Callithrix jacchus: one gene and its partners. The protein of the gene in region 1 interacts with the protein of each later gene in a pairwise test. Links are inferred from orthologs where the notes say so. Each region holds a gene or a part of one and is shown in the gene's direction. Other genes may lie near its edges.

Evidence for each region.
Region 2: the proteins of COPG1 (region 1) and COPZ2 interact in a two-hybrid assay, tested with the Homo sapiens proteins (2 studies listed by BioGRID). The link is inferred for Callithrix jacchus from reciprocal best matches to the Homo sapiens genes COPG1 and COPZ2.
Region 3: the proteins of COPG1 (region 1) and COPZ1 interact in a two-hybrid assay, tested with the Homo sapiens proteins (2 studies listed by BioGRID). The link is inferred for Callithrix jacchus from reciprocal best matches to the Homo sapiens genes COPG1 and COPZ1.

What each region holds. Positions count from the first base shown.
Region 1 is NC_133516.1:72,865,749-72,869,458, reverse strand, and holds part of COPG1 (coatomer subunit gamma-1), read left to right. Parts: intron 1-439; coding exon 440-597; intron 598-696; coding exon 697-830; intron 831-2,862; coding exon 2,863-2,930; intron 2,931-3,131; coding exon 3,132-3,320; intron 3,321-3,710. UniProt on the Homo sapiens protein: The coatomer is a cytosolic protein complex that binds to dilysine motifs and reversibly associates with Golgi non-clathrin-coated vesicles, which further mediate biosynthetic protein transport from the ER, via the Golgi up to the trans Golgi network.
Region 2 is NC_133506.1:118,251,495-118,255,709, forward strand, and holds the start of COPZ2 (coatomer subunit zeta-2), read left to right. Parts: upstream 1-1,232; 5' UTR 1,233-1,252; coding exon 1,253-1,363; intron 1,364-1,493; exon of another isoform or gene 1,494-1,583; intron 1,584-2,056; coding exon 2,057-2,131; intron 2,132-4,215. UniProt on the Homo sapiens protein: The coatomer is a cytosolic protein complex that binds to dilysine motifs and reversibly associates with Golgi non-clathrin-coated vesicles, which further mediate biosynthetic protein transport from the ER, via the Golgi up to the trans Golgi network.
Region 3 is NC_133510.1:65,223,616-65,228,073, reverse strand, and holds the start of COPZ1 (coatomer subunit zeta-1), read left to right. Parts: upstream 1-1,528; 5' UTR 1,529-1,561; coding exon 1,562-1,579; intron 1,580-4,458. UniProt on the Homo sapiens protein: The coatomer is a cytosolic protein complex that binds to dilysine motifs and reversibly associates with Golgi non-clathrin-coated vesicles, which further mediate biosynthetic protein transport from the ER, via the Golgi up to the trans Golgi network.

The sequences.
Region 1 (3,710 bases):
GACTACCTGCAGGGTTGTTGTGAATAATGCAAGATTTCATAGCTAAGGTGTCCCACACAGTGACTTACAAACATGACCACGTTCAAGGTCTGGCTCCCGCCTTCTGTCTCTCCTAGTGAAAGCACCAGGTGTCTCACATTGCTTTCATCTTTGTACTGTTTGTTGTCCCTTTCTGTACTTGTATTTATGCTACTTGTTAGGGCTCTTGCCGAAGTGGGGGTGGGGGCAAGAACCACAGATACACTCCTGTGGTTTGTGAAGCATTGTATGGAGGGTTGTATACTTAGAGTACCTGGGCAGTTGTCACAGCCACTCTGTGTACTGGCTGCTACTGTGCTCATTTTAGAATTGAGAAGGCTAAAGGGCCTGCCCAGGGCCACACGGCCAGTATACCCAAAAGTCATACATCTGTACTCTGTTACTGTCCCCTGTCCTATAGTACCATGCACTAGGGCTCCTGTACCACGTGCGTAAGAATGACCGCTTGGCTGTCAATAAGATGATCAGCAAGGTTACCCGTCATGGCCTTAAGTCTCCCTTTGCCTACTGCATGATGATCCGGGTGGCCAGCAAGCAGCTGGAAGAGGAGGACGGCAGGTAATGGCTCTCGTCTCTCACCAGCTAGATGATGCCTCACTCACCCTACCATGCTGGGCCACCCCCAACCTTTACTTGTCACTCTGTGTTCTTTTGTAGCCGTGACAGCCCACTGTTTGATTTCATCGAGAGCTGCTTGCGCAACAAGCATGAGATGGTGGTGTATGAAGCCGCCTCGGCCATCGTCAATCTGCCAGGCTGCAGTGCCAAAGAGCTGGCCCCAGCTGTGTCAGGTCACCAGGCATTCCTTCCCCCAGCCTCACATGTTTATGCTTGCCAGGAACTAGGCCTGGGTCAGGGGCTAGGGGAAAGAAAGAAAATGCTCTCAAGCCACAGACTGGTGTTAAGGAGTCCATACCTAGGAAGCACCTGCCCAGACACTATGCTGGAGCCCCATATGTGTCACATTTTGGGGGTAGGCTGTTGGACCACTGAAGAGGGAGGCTGAGGTAAGGCTTGGGTCCACTCGAGCCTGTCAGGTTGGCTGGCCACAGGAGGAGGCCTGGTGGAGGAACTCGGGATCTATGAAACTGGTGCCTGTGAACTGGAGCTGAGCTTTTCCAGGTGAAGGAGAGAACAGTATAGAGGGTCTTTCTGAGCCTCTGGCTACAGCAGTGGAGCAGGGCAGCCTGTGTTAGAGCCTTGGCTCTGCCCCTTAGCAACTGGGCGAGCCTGGCAAGGCCACCCATCCTCTCCATGTTTCCCTTTCTTTTCTCAGATGTGGATGATAGGTCATGCCCATTACATAGGGGTTTATAGACAGAAAATGTGGGATCTAGACAAATTGCTCAGAAGGCAACATGTTTGTTGTTTGCTGTTTTGTTTTTTTTTTTTTTTTGAGATGGAGTCTCGCTCTGTTGCCTAGGCTGGAGTGCAGTGGCATGATCTTGGTTCACTTCAACTTCTGCCTCTTGGGTTCAAGTGATTCTCCTGCCTCAGCTTCCCAAGTAGCTGGGATTACGGGTGCCCGACACCATGCCCAGCTAAATTTTGTATTTTTAGTAGAGATGGGGTTTCACCATATTGGCCAGACTGGTCTCGAACCCATGACCTTGTGATCCACCTGCCTCAGCCTCTCAAAGTGCTGACTTCAGGTGATCCGCCCGCCTCGGCCTCCCAAAGTGCTGGGATTACAGGCGTGAGCCACTGCCCGGCCTTCATTCATTCTTAGTATATCCCCCATATTTCCAGAATAATGAAAGATGTAAATAAAGTAGGGTCTTCAAAATAAGCATTAAGAGGCCAGGTGCAGTGGTTCACACCTATAATCCCAGCACTTTGGGAGGCTGAGGTGGGTGGATCATGAGGTCAAGAGATTGAGACCATCCTGGTCAACATGGCGAAACCCTGTCTCTACTAAAAATACAAAAATTAGCTGGGCATGGTGGCATGCACACTGGTAGTCCCAGCTACTCAGGAGGCTGCGGCAGGAGAATTGCTTGAACCCATGAGGCGGAGGTTGTGGTGAGCCAAGATCACGCCATTGCACTCCAGCCTGGGTAACAAGTGAAACTCTGTCTCCAAAAAAAAAAAAAAAAAAAAAAAAAAAGCATTAAGAAAAAAAATTTTTTTAAGTGTTAGGGAATAAAAGCAAAGTTATGAAGAAAGGAACGTAGATATTCCAGAAAACACATCTTTACTCCTATGATTGAGTGCCAAATTTAGCTCTGAGCTTCCTGGCAGCCAGGGCAAGGGAGATATGGTACCCGAATGGCCCTCATGTAGTAAAAGGAAATCAACCATTTATTTAAGAGAGGACTTTGTTCTGCAATACTCAGTGCTGAGGGGGGACGTTCTGTTGGCTCCAGAAGACACAATAGGAGAGAGGAGTGGAATCTTCACAGAGGTTAAGGGCTCAGGCTGCAGTTGCCAGCAGTCTTGGAATTTAATTCTGGTTCTGCCACTTATGGGCTGCCAACCTAAATTCTATTTGCTTTCCCCTTTGTGCCTTAGTCTCCTTATCTGTAAAGTGGGGCTGCAAGCTATAGAAGTAAGGCATGTCCACCATGTAGCACAGCACCTGGCACATATCAGATGCCTAGTGAATAACAGCCCTCACGGGAACCCCTTGGTGCTCACAGACATTATGAATTCTGTCCATGGCTTAGGTGCCCAGGTTAAGGAGAGCTCTCTGTCTTGGATTGGGGTTGTGGTATCAGCAAGGAAATGAGCTGAGCAGAGGGCTTGAGTCAGAACAGCTGCCCCCAATTTTCCCAGCTGCCCAGAGTGAAGGCAACCTGACGTGTGGCATCCATCTCTCTACAGTGCTCCAGCTTTTCTGCAGCTCACCCAAGGCTGCTCTCCGTTATGCTGCTGTTCGCACCCTTAATAAGGTAAGAGTCCAGGTGCAGGGTTGGAGGAAGCTGTCTAATCCAACTGGAGGTATGTCCTTGCCTCTGACCTGGCTGGGAAAGATGTAGCTCTGGTCACGGTTACTTTCTTCTGGATGGTGAGATGATCTGACTGGACAAAACCATCAGATGAAGTGACAGCACTGAGATCCTGCCCTCTCTGTCACTGTCCTCCCAAAACAGGTTGCCATGAAGCATCCGTCAGCTGTGACAGCTTGCAATCTGGATCTGGAAAACCTGGTCACAGATTCAAACCGCAGCATTGCCACGTTGGCCATCACTACTCTCCTTAAGACAGGCAGCGAGAGCAGCATTGACCGCCTCATGAAACAGATCTCCTCCTTCATGTCAGAGATCTCGGATGAATTCAAGGTACCCGCTACCCCTGGGATACCCATGGACCCCAGAGTAAGGAGGGAGCTCTGTCCCTGCTCTCTGTGGCCACAGCCCTCCTTTCAGGACTTACCTGAGGGGTTGGTCAGCCTTGAGGACTCAGAGGAGGCCAGCACATTGCTCTGCAGAGGTTTGGTCTTCAGAGAAATGTGTGCAGTCTTGCCTCCAGGCCTTCATCTATATTGTCCCCTGGTACTGAAAGAACAGTAGTTTCCAGGCCAGTTAAGGATTCATTGATTTGTTGTCCAAGTATTTCTTGAGCACTTGCTGTCTGCTATGTAGAGTGATCAGAGGGGAACATAGCAGTGGACAAGGCAGGTGCCTGCCCTCCTGGAGTGACCTTTCTAGGGATGGGAGAGAAACAGTAAA
Region 2 (4,215 bases), on another chromosome or scaffold:
CCTGGGCAAGAGAGAGAGACACTGTCTCAAACAAAAAAATTAGTAAAAATAATATTTAGACATTGAGAAAGTGCAATGAAGGAAAGTGCAAAGATATCTCTATATCTCTGAGATAGAGAATGTGACAGGAGAGACCTATCACGTCAGATATGGTGGCTGTCAGGAGGACCTTTTGGTAATGACATTTCAGCGGAGGCTTGAAGTCGAGAAGGCTTGATGCATTCAGTGAGGAAAGCCCCATTCTGTAACCATCTACGGTGAGTAACTGTGGTCCACAACATAAGAGGGCTTGAAGAGAATAGGGAAGAAATTTTGAGTAAAAAACCTGGGTTCTATCCCCAGTCAACTAGCTGTACAGTCTTGAAAAGGTCACACAACCTCTGAGTCTCTCTTTCCTTAAAATGGGGGTCCATCATGCCTACCTCACAGGTGTGGGCTATATTAGATAATATATGTGAAAGTGTCAAATGTAAAATGCATGCACAGTCTTGTTACCTGTAAATGCATACATAACAGTAACATATATATCACCCGGGTGTGAATTTCCCTCTGGCCAGTATACCCTGAAATGAGATCTTGTCTTTGGTACACTTAGACCAAAGAAACCAAAACATGCTGCAAAACCCGATGTCATTGGTGGAGCATTTGTGCTGTTGGGCGTCTGGCTTGCTTCTGACGGTGCCACATCTGTGTCTTAGGAGAGCCTGGGGTGGTGTCTCCAGGACTTTGGTTCCCTTCTGCAAGTAGTGAGAGACGAATGGGAAAGCTTCTTCTCCACAGAGGGGTGTTCCCAGAACTATCCTCATCTGCTCTCGCTGACAGACCCTGTCCCTGAGATCCAAAGGGTGACCTATTTGTTCCCATGGTACCTACCAGGGCTCAACAGACAAAAGTGGGCTTTGCTTGTGTTTGCTGCTGAACCCAGGACAGCCTATAGACACCGGTGCACACCAAAGCCACAGACCGGAGTGCAGGCAGGAAGCGGGACGACGGCTGGTCTTGGGGTACTCTCAGGATGCAGAGTTCAGGGCTGTAACGGAAGGAGCCAAGGAAGAGAGAGGGAGAGGAGAGGTGGAGGAAGGGGAGGGTGGGGGTGAGGGCGGGAGGGGAGAGCAAGGAGAACGAGCCTGAGGACTGGGCCCCGAGGCAAGGAAGGCCACGCGTGAGAAGGGGCCGTAGGGCGGGCGTGGAGGCGGGGCGGCGGCAGTGGGCAGGCGGCGGGCGGCGCTGTCAGTGCGAGGCGGCGAGTGGAATGCAGCGGCCCGAGGCCTGGCCACGTCCGCACCTGGGGGAGGGGGCCGCGGCGGCCCAGGCCGGGGACCCAGCGCCGCCTGCTCAAGCTGGGGAGCCCTCGGGGCTTCGGGTATGGAGCGGGCGGGCGCGGGGGTCCCGGGCGGCGGGAGCTGGGCCGGGACGGAGCAGGGTCGGGGAGCAGCCAACTCAGAACTCGCGCCCAGTGGCTGGGAACTTTGTGTCACCCCTTGACCGGCCCCAGACCCGGGGAGAAAAAGTTCGTCCCGGCGGTGAGGAGGCCTGTCCTGACGGGGCTGAAGTTTTGGGTCCATTTGGAGCGGGGGTGGCGGGTGAGTTGCGATTCCGCGGGGAGGGTAAGGAGTGGTCTGTCTGTCCCAGACTCGGCTCCCATCGCCGGTGGGTGATGGGCATGCTTCTGGAGCCCACACGGGCCAGGGCCTGGGAGCACGCTGAGAGCGCAGGTCCAGCCCGGCCAGGGATCAGCTGGAAGGAGGAGGCTCGGCCCGCTGTCCCCCCCGGCCCAGGTTCTGTGATACACTCCGACTCGGGCTCTGGAGTAGTCAGTGCATGACAGAACTTGGGCCCGGAAGGACCTTCTGCACCCAACGGGCACAGCCCCCACTAGGGCCTGCAGTGGAACATCTGTCTGGGAGTGGGCACCTGCGTTGGCCCATGTGGCACAGGGTTGGGTAGAACGAGCTGTGGACCTTGAGGGCTGGGGTTGCTGGTGCCTGAGGATGTATCCTAGGCCAGCCCATGGATCGATCCATCAGGAGCCAAACAGAACTCTCCCTGATGTCAGTTGCAGGAACCTTCCCTCTACACCATCAAGGCTGTTTTCATCCTAGATAATGATGGGCGCCGGCTGCTGGCCAAGGTAACATCTGACCCCACCCGTGAGGGGCACAGTTCCCACCCAGCTGACACTCCTGTCTTAGGAGAAAACTCCACGGTGATCTCTGACTCAGGGCAGCTCAGCTTAGACCCCTCCAGAGGTCCTTCTCATCCTCCTGCCTTGTCAAGGTGCTGCTACCTGAAGTGAGGGGTCTCCTCTGTTTCTACTCATGCTCCCTGAAGTGTTGTTTTCTCATCATTCTGCTACTGGCCAGTTGGACCTGGGCCTGGGAAAGTTCTGCCTAATGGGTTAGTGGAGTGTTGAGCCTCTGACTCAGGAGTCTTAGTCCCTAAACCCCCAAACAAACTCTTTTGTTCTTTGGGGTTTGTCTCTAAACCTCCTCAAAACCTCCACTTTTGTTCTACAGCTTGGTAAACACTAAGGATTTAGTCTAAGGAGTCTAAGGATTTAGAACCAGATGGGATTTTAGAGACTGTATAATCCAACTCTTTTAATTTCACAGATGAAGAAAATGAGGTGTAGAGAAGCTAAGTGAGTTGCCTGAGGTCACAAGAATTAATATCCTAACAGATCCAAACTCAGGTTTTACTTATTACTTAATTTTTTCACTTCTCCCATTTTACAGGTTTCACGGGCAAACTCAGGTTTCTTGACATGAAGCTCAAGGTGGTTTTCACTGTACCTCCCATTCAATTATCTGGCATCTATCCTAGCAAACATGGCCTGAGCAAACCAAACTAAAATAATCCAAAAATAAATTTTTACTGTTTACACAATTAATTATTGTGGAGCTGTAGCATCTGCATTAGCTATGACGTGCATTTAAGGCCAGCTTCAGTGGCTGATCCTCCCAGCACTTTGGGAGACTCAGGCAGGTGGATCGCTTGAGCCCGGGAGTGCCAGACCAGCCTGGGCAACATGGTAAAACCCCATCTCTACAAAAAAAAAAAAAAAAATTAGCCAGGTGTGGTGGTATGTGCCTGTAGTTCCAGCAACTTGGGAGGCTGAAGTGGGAGGATCACCTGAGCCTGAGAGGTTGAGGCTGCAGTGAGCCATGATCGAGCTACTGGACTCCAGTCTGGGTGACAGAGTGAGACCTCATTTCAAAAAATAGATTTTCTGTTTGTTTGTTTGGAGCTGAAACTTATTTGTTTTTATGATATTCAAATAAGCTTTTTCACCACAGCAGCGGCCAGCAGGGAGACTGCTAATCTGCTTGCAGATTGAGTACTAAGTGGCAAAATCCACATCCAGAAAACTGAAAACTGAGCTGACCATACCTTGCCCTAGCAGATGGTCAGAGGTGGATCAGCAAGGCCAAAGGTTCTCGCTCCCTACAGATTAAGAAACTGAGTCAGAGAGAGAGGCTCACCATTCCCAAATAAAAAATGTTAATTTAGTTATGGGATATGTGCCAGGAATTATTTCTTAGATATTTAATCTTCACTATCACCCTGTCTGCAGTCAGACCATCCTTAGTGCTGAAATCCAGCTTTGGCCTCACAACTGTGAGATGTTGGGGAAGTTACCTGACTTCTTTTTATTTTTTAGAGACAGAGTCTCACTCTGTCGCCAGGCTGGAGTGCAGCGGTACAATCTTGGCTCACTGCGACCTCTGCCTTCTGGGTTCAAGCGATTCTCCTGCCTCAGCCTCCCAAGTAGCTGGGACCACAGGTGTGCACCACCACAGCCAGCTAATTTTTGTATTTTTAGTAGAGACGAGGTTTCACCATGTTGGCCAGGATGGTCTCAATCTCTTGACCTTGAGATCCACTCACCTTGGCCTCCCAAAGTGCTGGGTTTAACAGGCGTGAGCCACCGCACCTGGCCATTACCTGGCTTCTTGATGTCCCACTTTCCCCATCTGTGTAATGGGGAAAATAAAGTAGCTGTTGTTATTATTGTTTAAAAAAAGACTCCTGCTTTTGCTATAGACTCAGGGTGCTGTAGAATTAGTGTGCCCTAGAGATCACACCAGTCCTTAGCATGCCAAACATCTGCTGAATGTACAAGATCCTTTAAGAAACCAGGAGGAGACTCCAAAAGTAGGCCTCAATATCCTACTTTTTGGGACTTTCTTTGCTTAGAATTTGTTTTGGAAGAAG
Region 3 (4,458 bases), on another chromosome or scaffold:
TCCCCGCCTCCCAAAGTGCTAAGATTATAGGCATGAACCACTGCACCTGGCCACAAGTGCTTGTTTCTACTTGAAAATCACAGACCCAGCCGGGCGTGGTGGCTCACGCCTGTAATCCAAGCGCTTTGGAGGCCAAGGCGGGCGGATCACCTGAGGTCGGGAGTTCAAGACCAGCCTGACCAATGTGATGAAACCCCCATCTTTATTAAAAAAAAAAGAAAAAAAAAAAAAAGGAAAGAAAATCGCAGAGCCTATTCCTATACTCTCCCTTATTCTTTTTTTTTTTGAGACCGAGTCTTGCCCTGTCTCCAGGCTGGAGGGCAGTGCTTTGATCTCGGCTCACTGTAACTTCCGCCTCCTGGTTCAAGCGATTCCCTTGCCTCAGCCTCCGGAGTAGCTAGGACTACAGGAGCACGCCACCACGCCCAGCTAATTTTAATTTAATTTAATTTTTTTTTTTTTTTTTTTTTTTTTTTTGAGACGGAGTTTCGCTCTTGTTACACAGGCTGAAGTGCAATGGCGATCTCGGCTCACCGCAACCTCCGCCTCCTGGGTTCAGGCAATTCTCTTGCCTCAGCCTCCTGAGTAGCTGGGATTACAGGCATGTGCCACCATGCCCAGCTAATTTTTTGTATTTTTAGTAGAGACGGGGTTTCACCATGTTGACCAGGATGGTCTCGGTCTCTTGACCTCGTGATCCACCCGCCTCGGCCTCCTAAAGTGCTGGGATTACAGGCTTGAGCCACCGTGCATGGCCTTTTTTTTTTAAGACGGAGTCTTGCCCCACCTACCCTCCCTTATTCTAATCCCGTTTCCCCTTTGCCCCCAAACCCCATCTCCAAAGGTGTAACATCTGATTTCACTCTGGGCCAAAGTTGGCTTTTACAAACTCCGACTTCTTATGTTCCTCAGGCCCAGCAAAGCCTGGAATTCCACCTTAGGGAGCTTATCATTGCGCCTATCAACTCCTGACAGCCTTGGTTTATGTAGATAACATGTTGGGCCTTTTTTGGCTATATTCTATGGTTGTGCAGACTCTGTGAGGATGCTGAAGTGACCTGAGCGAGCCTGAGGGAAAGGCTAGCCACACAGATCATGCACCTAATGGGGGCGCTGAAAATAGGGATTAGGGCAAGATTCCAGTTAGGAAGCGCCAGTGTTAAAGGCTAAGGAGATACAGCGCCCCCTAAAGAGAGTGCGATTAAAAGTCGCTAAATCAGGCCGACAATATCACGTGTCCTCGGCCTTACCAATTGAAAATTAACAATCGCTTCCTCTGTTCCCCATGGAAACAACCCCGCCCCACTGACCCTCCCTCCCCAATCAGTCGTGAGGTTTTGCCATTTTATTGAGTATTGAGGCTGTCAATCAAAAATTTGCGCCTTCTGGTTGGACAATTTGCTTCCGCTAAGCAAACTATTACGTAATTGGTCAATAGAGAGATGCCTGGCTTAGCTTTACCCAATGATCCTTGTTCTAGGCGGGGCCTAATGGGGACGTATGGCCAATCAGCGGCGGCGTTGCTTTTGTGGCTCCACGTCGGCACCAGCTGCGGGGCAAGATGGAGGCGCTGATTTTGGTAGGAGCTGGAGGGGCAGCAGAGATGCTGTGGTGTCCACAGGGACCGGGAGTCAGGGTTCATCCCGAGTGGGAGACGGGGAAGGAGAGTTCCGGGTAATTCTTGGGGACTGAAAGTTCTGCTGGCCCCTGAAATAAGTGTGTGGCCTACTATAGGAGCTAAAGCCTTAGTTTAGAGTAGGAAGCTTTGCCGGGGAGAGGGTATAGAGTCGGTGGAAAGTTAAGGGCAGCACATGGACTCCTTAGGATGCATAGGCTATAAGCGTACTAGATTAGGACCCTTCAGGTTGCCCCTTATTTTTTAGCATTGTGGATGATATCCTGATTTGAATTTACCCAAACCACCAAACTCGCACCGTGTTGTAAGAAAAGAATACAAATGTTTTGTCATTACAGGCTCCTCCTGATGGTTTTCCAAGTTTGACTGTGCATACTCTCCATTGCTGATTCCCTGCCACATTCCTTCAGGAAACTTCTTTTCGGTTTCCTGGTAATCCTTACTATATAGGTTTGTCATGATAAAGAATCAGTATTCCATCGAAGCTCTGGGATACCTGATAAAGTTAGTATGGATTACTATGGATTGTGGAATATTTATTCTAGACTCCTTATTCTGTTCTCCTTTTCTCTCCCCATTTAGACCTTAGGAATTCCTTTTTTTTTTTTTTGAGACCGAGTCTTGCTCTGTCTCCCAGGCTTGAAGGCAGTGGCGCTATCTCAGCTCACTGAAGCCTCCACTTCCTGGTTTCAAGCAGTTCTGCCTCAGCTTCCCAAGTAGCTGGGTCTAGAGGCGCATGCCTCCACGCCCAGCTAATTTTTTTGTGTTTTAGTAGAGACGGGGTTTCACCTTGTTGCCAAGGCTGGTCTCGAACTCATGAGCTCAGGCAATCTGCCTCCGCCTCCAGAGTGCTAGGATTCCAGGCGTGAGCCACTGCAAGGCTGGAGTGCAGTGGTGCAGTCTCAGCTCACTGCAATCTCTGCATCCTGGGTTCAGGCAATTCCCTTGCCTCAGCCTCCCGAGTAGATGGGACTACAGGCAGGTACCACCACACCTGGATAATTTTTTGTTTTTTAGTAGAGACGGGGTTTCACCATGTTGGCCAGGATGGTCTCAATCTTCTGATGTCATAATTTGCCCGCCTCAGCCTCCCAAAGTGCTGGGATTACAGGCGTGAGCCACCACGCCCGGCCAGCAAGTATTTTTAATCAAGTACTAGGTTGAGGGCGATGGCTCATGCCTGTAATCCCAGCACTATGAGAGGCTGAGGCAGGAGAATCGTTTGAGCCCAGGAGTTTGAGGCTGCAGTGAACTATGGTTGTGCCACTGCACTCCAGCCTGGCATGACAGAGCCAGACCCTGTCTCTAAAAAAATAAAAATAAAAAACCTCCCCCCAAACCCAATTAACAGACTAGGATAGATTCTAGGGAATTGGTTTCTTTAGAAGCTTTTTAGATCATGAGGAAGATAATACTTGGGGAGCCCTTTTAACAATGGGTCTATGTGTAGTGGGTATAATATGTGAACGTCTGTTGGGCCAGGCACGGTGTAATTCCACGCTTTTAATTCCAGGACTTTGGGAGGCCTAGGTGGGCAGATCATGAGGTCAAGAGATCGAGACCATCCTGGTCAACATGGTGAAACCCCGTCTTTACTAAAAGTACAAAAATTAGCTGGCCATGGTGGCGGGTGCCTGTAATCCCACCTACTGGAGAGGCTGAGGCAGGAGAATCACTTGAACGCGGGAGGTGGAGGTTGCAGTGAGCCGAGATCTTGCCACTGCACTCCAGCCTGGCAACAGCCAGACTGCGTCTCAAAAAAGAAAGTCTCTCTGTCACATTTCTCTTCCCTTAGTTCTTTGTCTCTGCTTCCTCAGTGAAGTCTGTTTCAGGCTGCCTCTTTCTTATTCTTCTACTTTAATCTATGCCTAATATGCTGCATTCACAGATCCGGTTAACTTGGTCAGGTAACCCTGGACTTTGCTTTTAAAACCACACTGATTCTTTGTTATGGGAAACCAGTGTAATGAGGTTAGGGGCAATCTGTTCAAAGCATATTCTTCATTCACAGATTCCTGCTAACTTGGTCAGGTAACCCTGGACTTTGCTTTTGAAACTACACTGAATTCTTTTTCATAGGAAACTCTACATAATGAGGTTAGGGGCAATCTGTTCAAAGCATATTCTTCTGTCCTTACCTCCTCTACAAGTACATACATAGCTGCAGGATGTTGAGAAAAAGGGAAGGGTAAGCTACAGGGGGTCAAGAAGAACTGTTGATCAAAGTTTGCATTGACTGGAATTTTAAATAACCGTTAAGTTCCTTTCATTTAGGTACTTTACAGTGGGTTCCATTTCTTTCTTGAATTAAGTAATCCAGCTCTAGTTTTCAAGCAGATTTGTCTAATCTCTCTCGGGTCTCCTTAGTCTCTAAGGAAAGAGACCTTTTCATCTCCTTTAGTTCCCAGTGCTTAATAATAGTGATCTCAGCCTGCATCTTTGGACTTGGCTTCTTCTTTCTTGCTGTTTCTGCTTGTTCTCCCTTTTTGAGTTGTGAATGGAGAGGATCTCTGTAGGTCCCCACTCTCCATTAATAACCTATGGAATCTTAAAGATAAGGATTTACCCTTCCTTTTTCACTTTTTTCCTCCTTTCCTTTTTACTTTTTTTCTTTAAAGCTGAATTACTCGGCCAGGCTCAGTGGCTTAGGTCTGTAATCCCAGCACTTGGGCGGGCAGATCACCTGAGGTTAGGAGTTCAAGGCCAGCCTGACCAACATGGTGAAACACCGTCTCTACTAAAAATACAAAATACAAAATTAGCTGGGCCTGGTGGGACGCCCCTGTAATCCCAGCTCCACAGGAGGTTGAAGCAAGAGAATC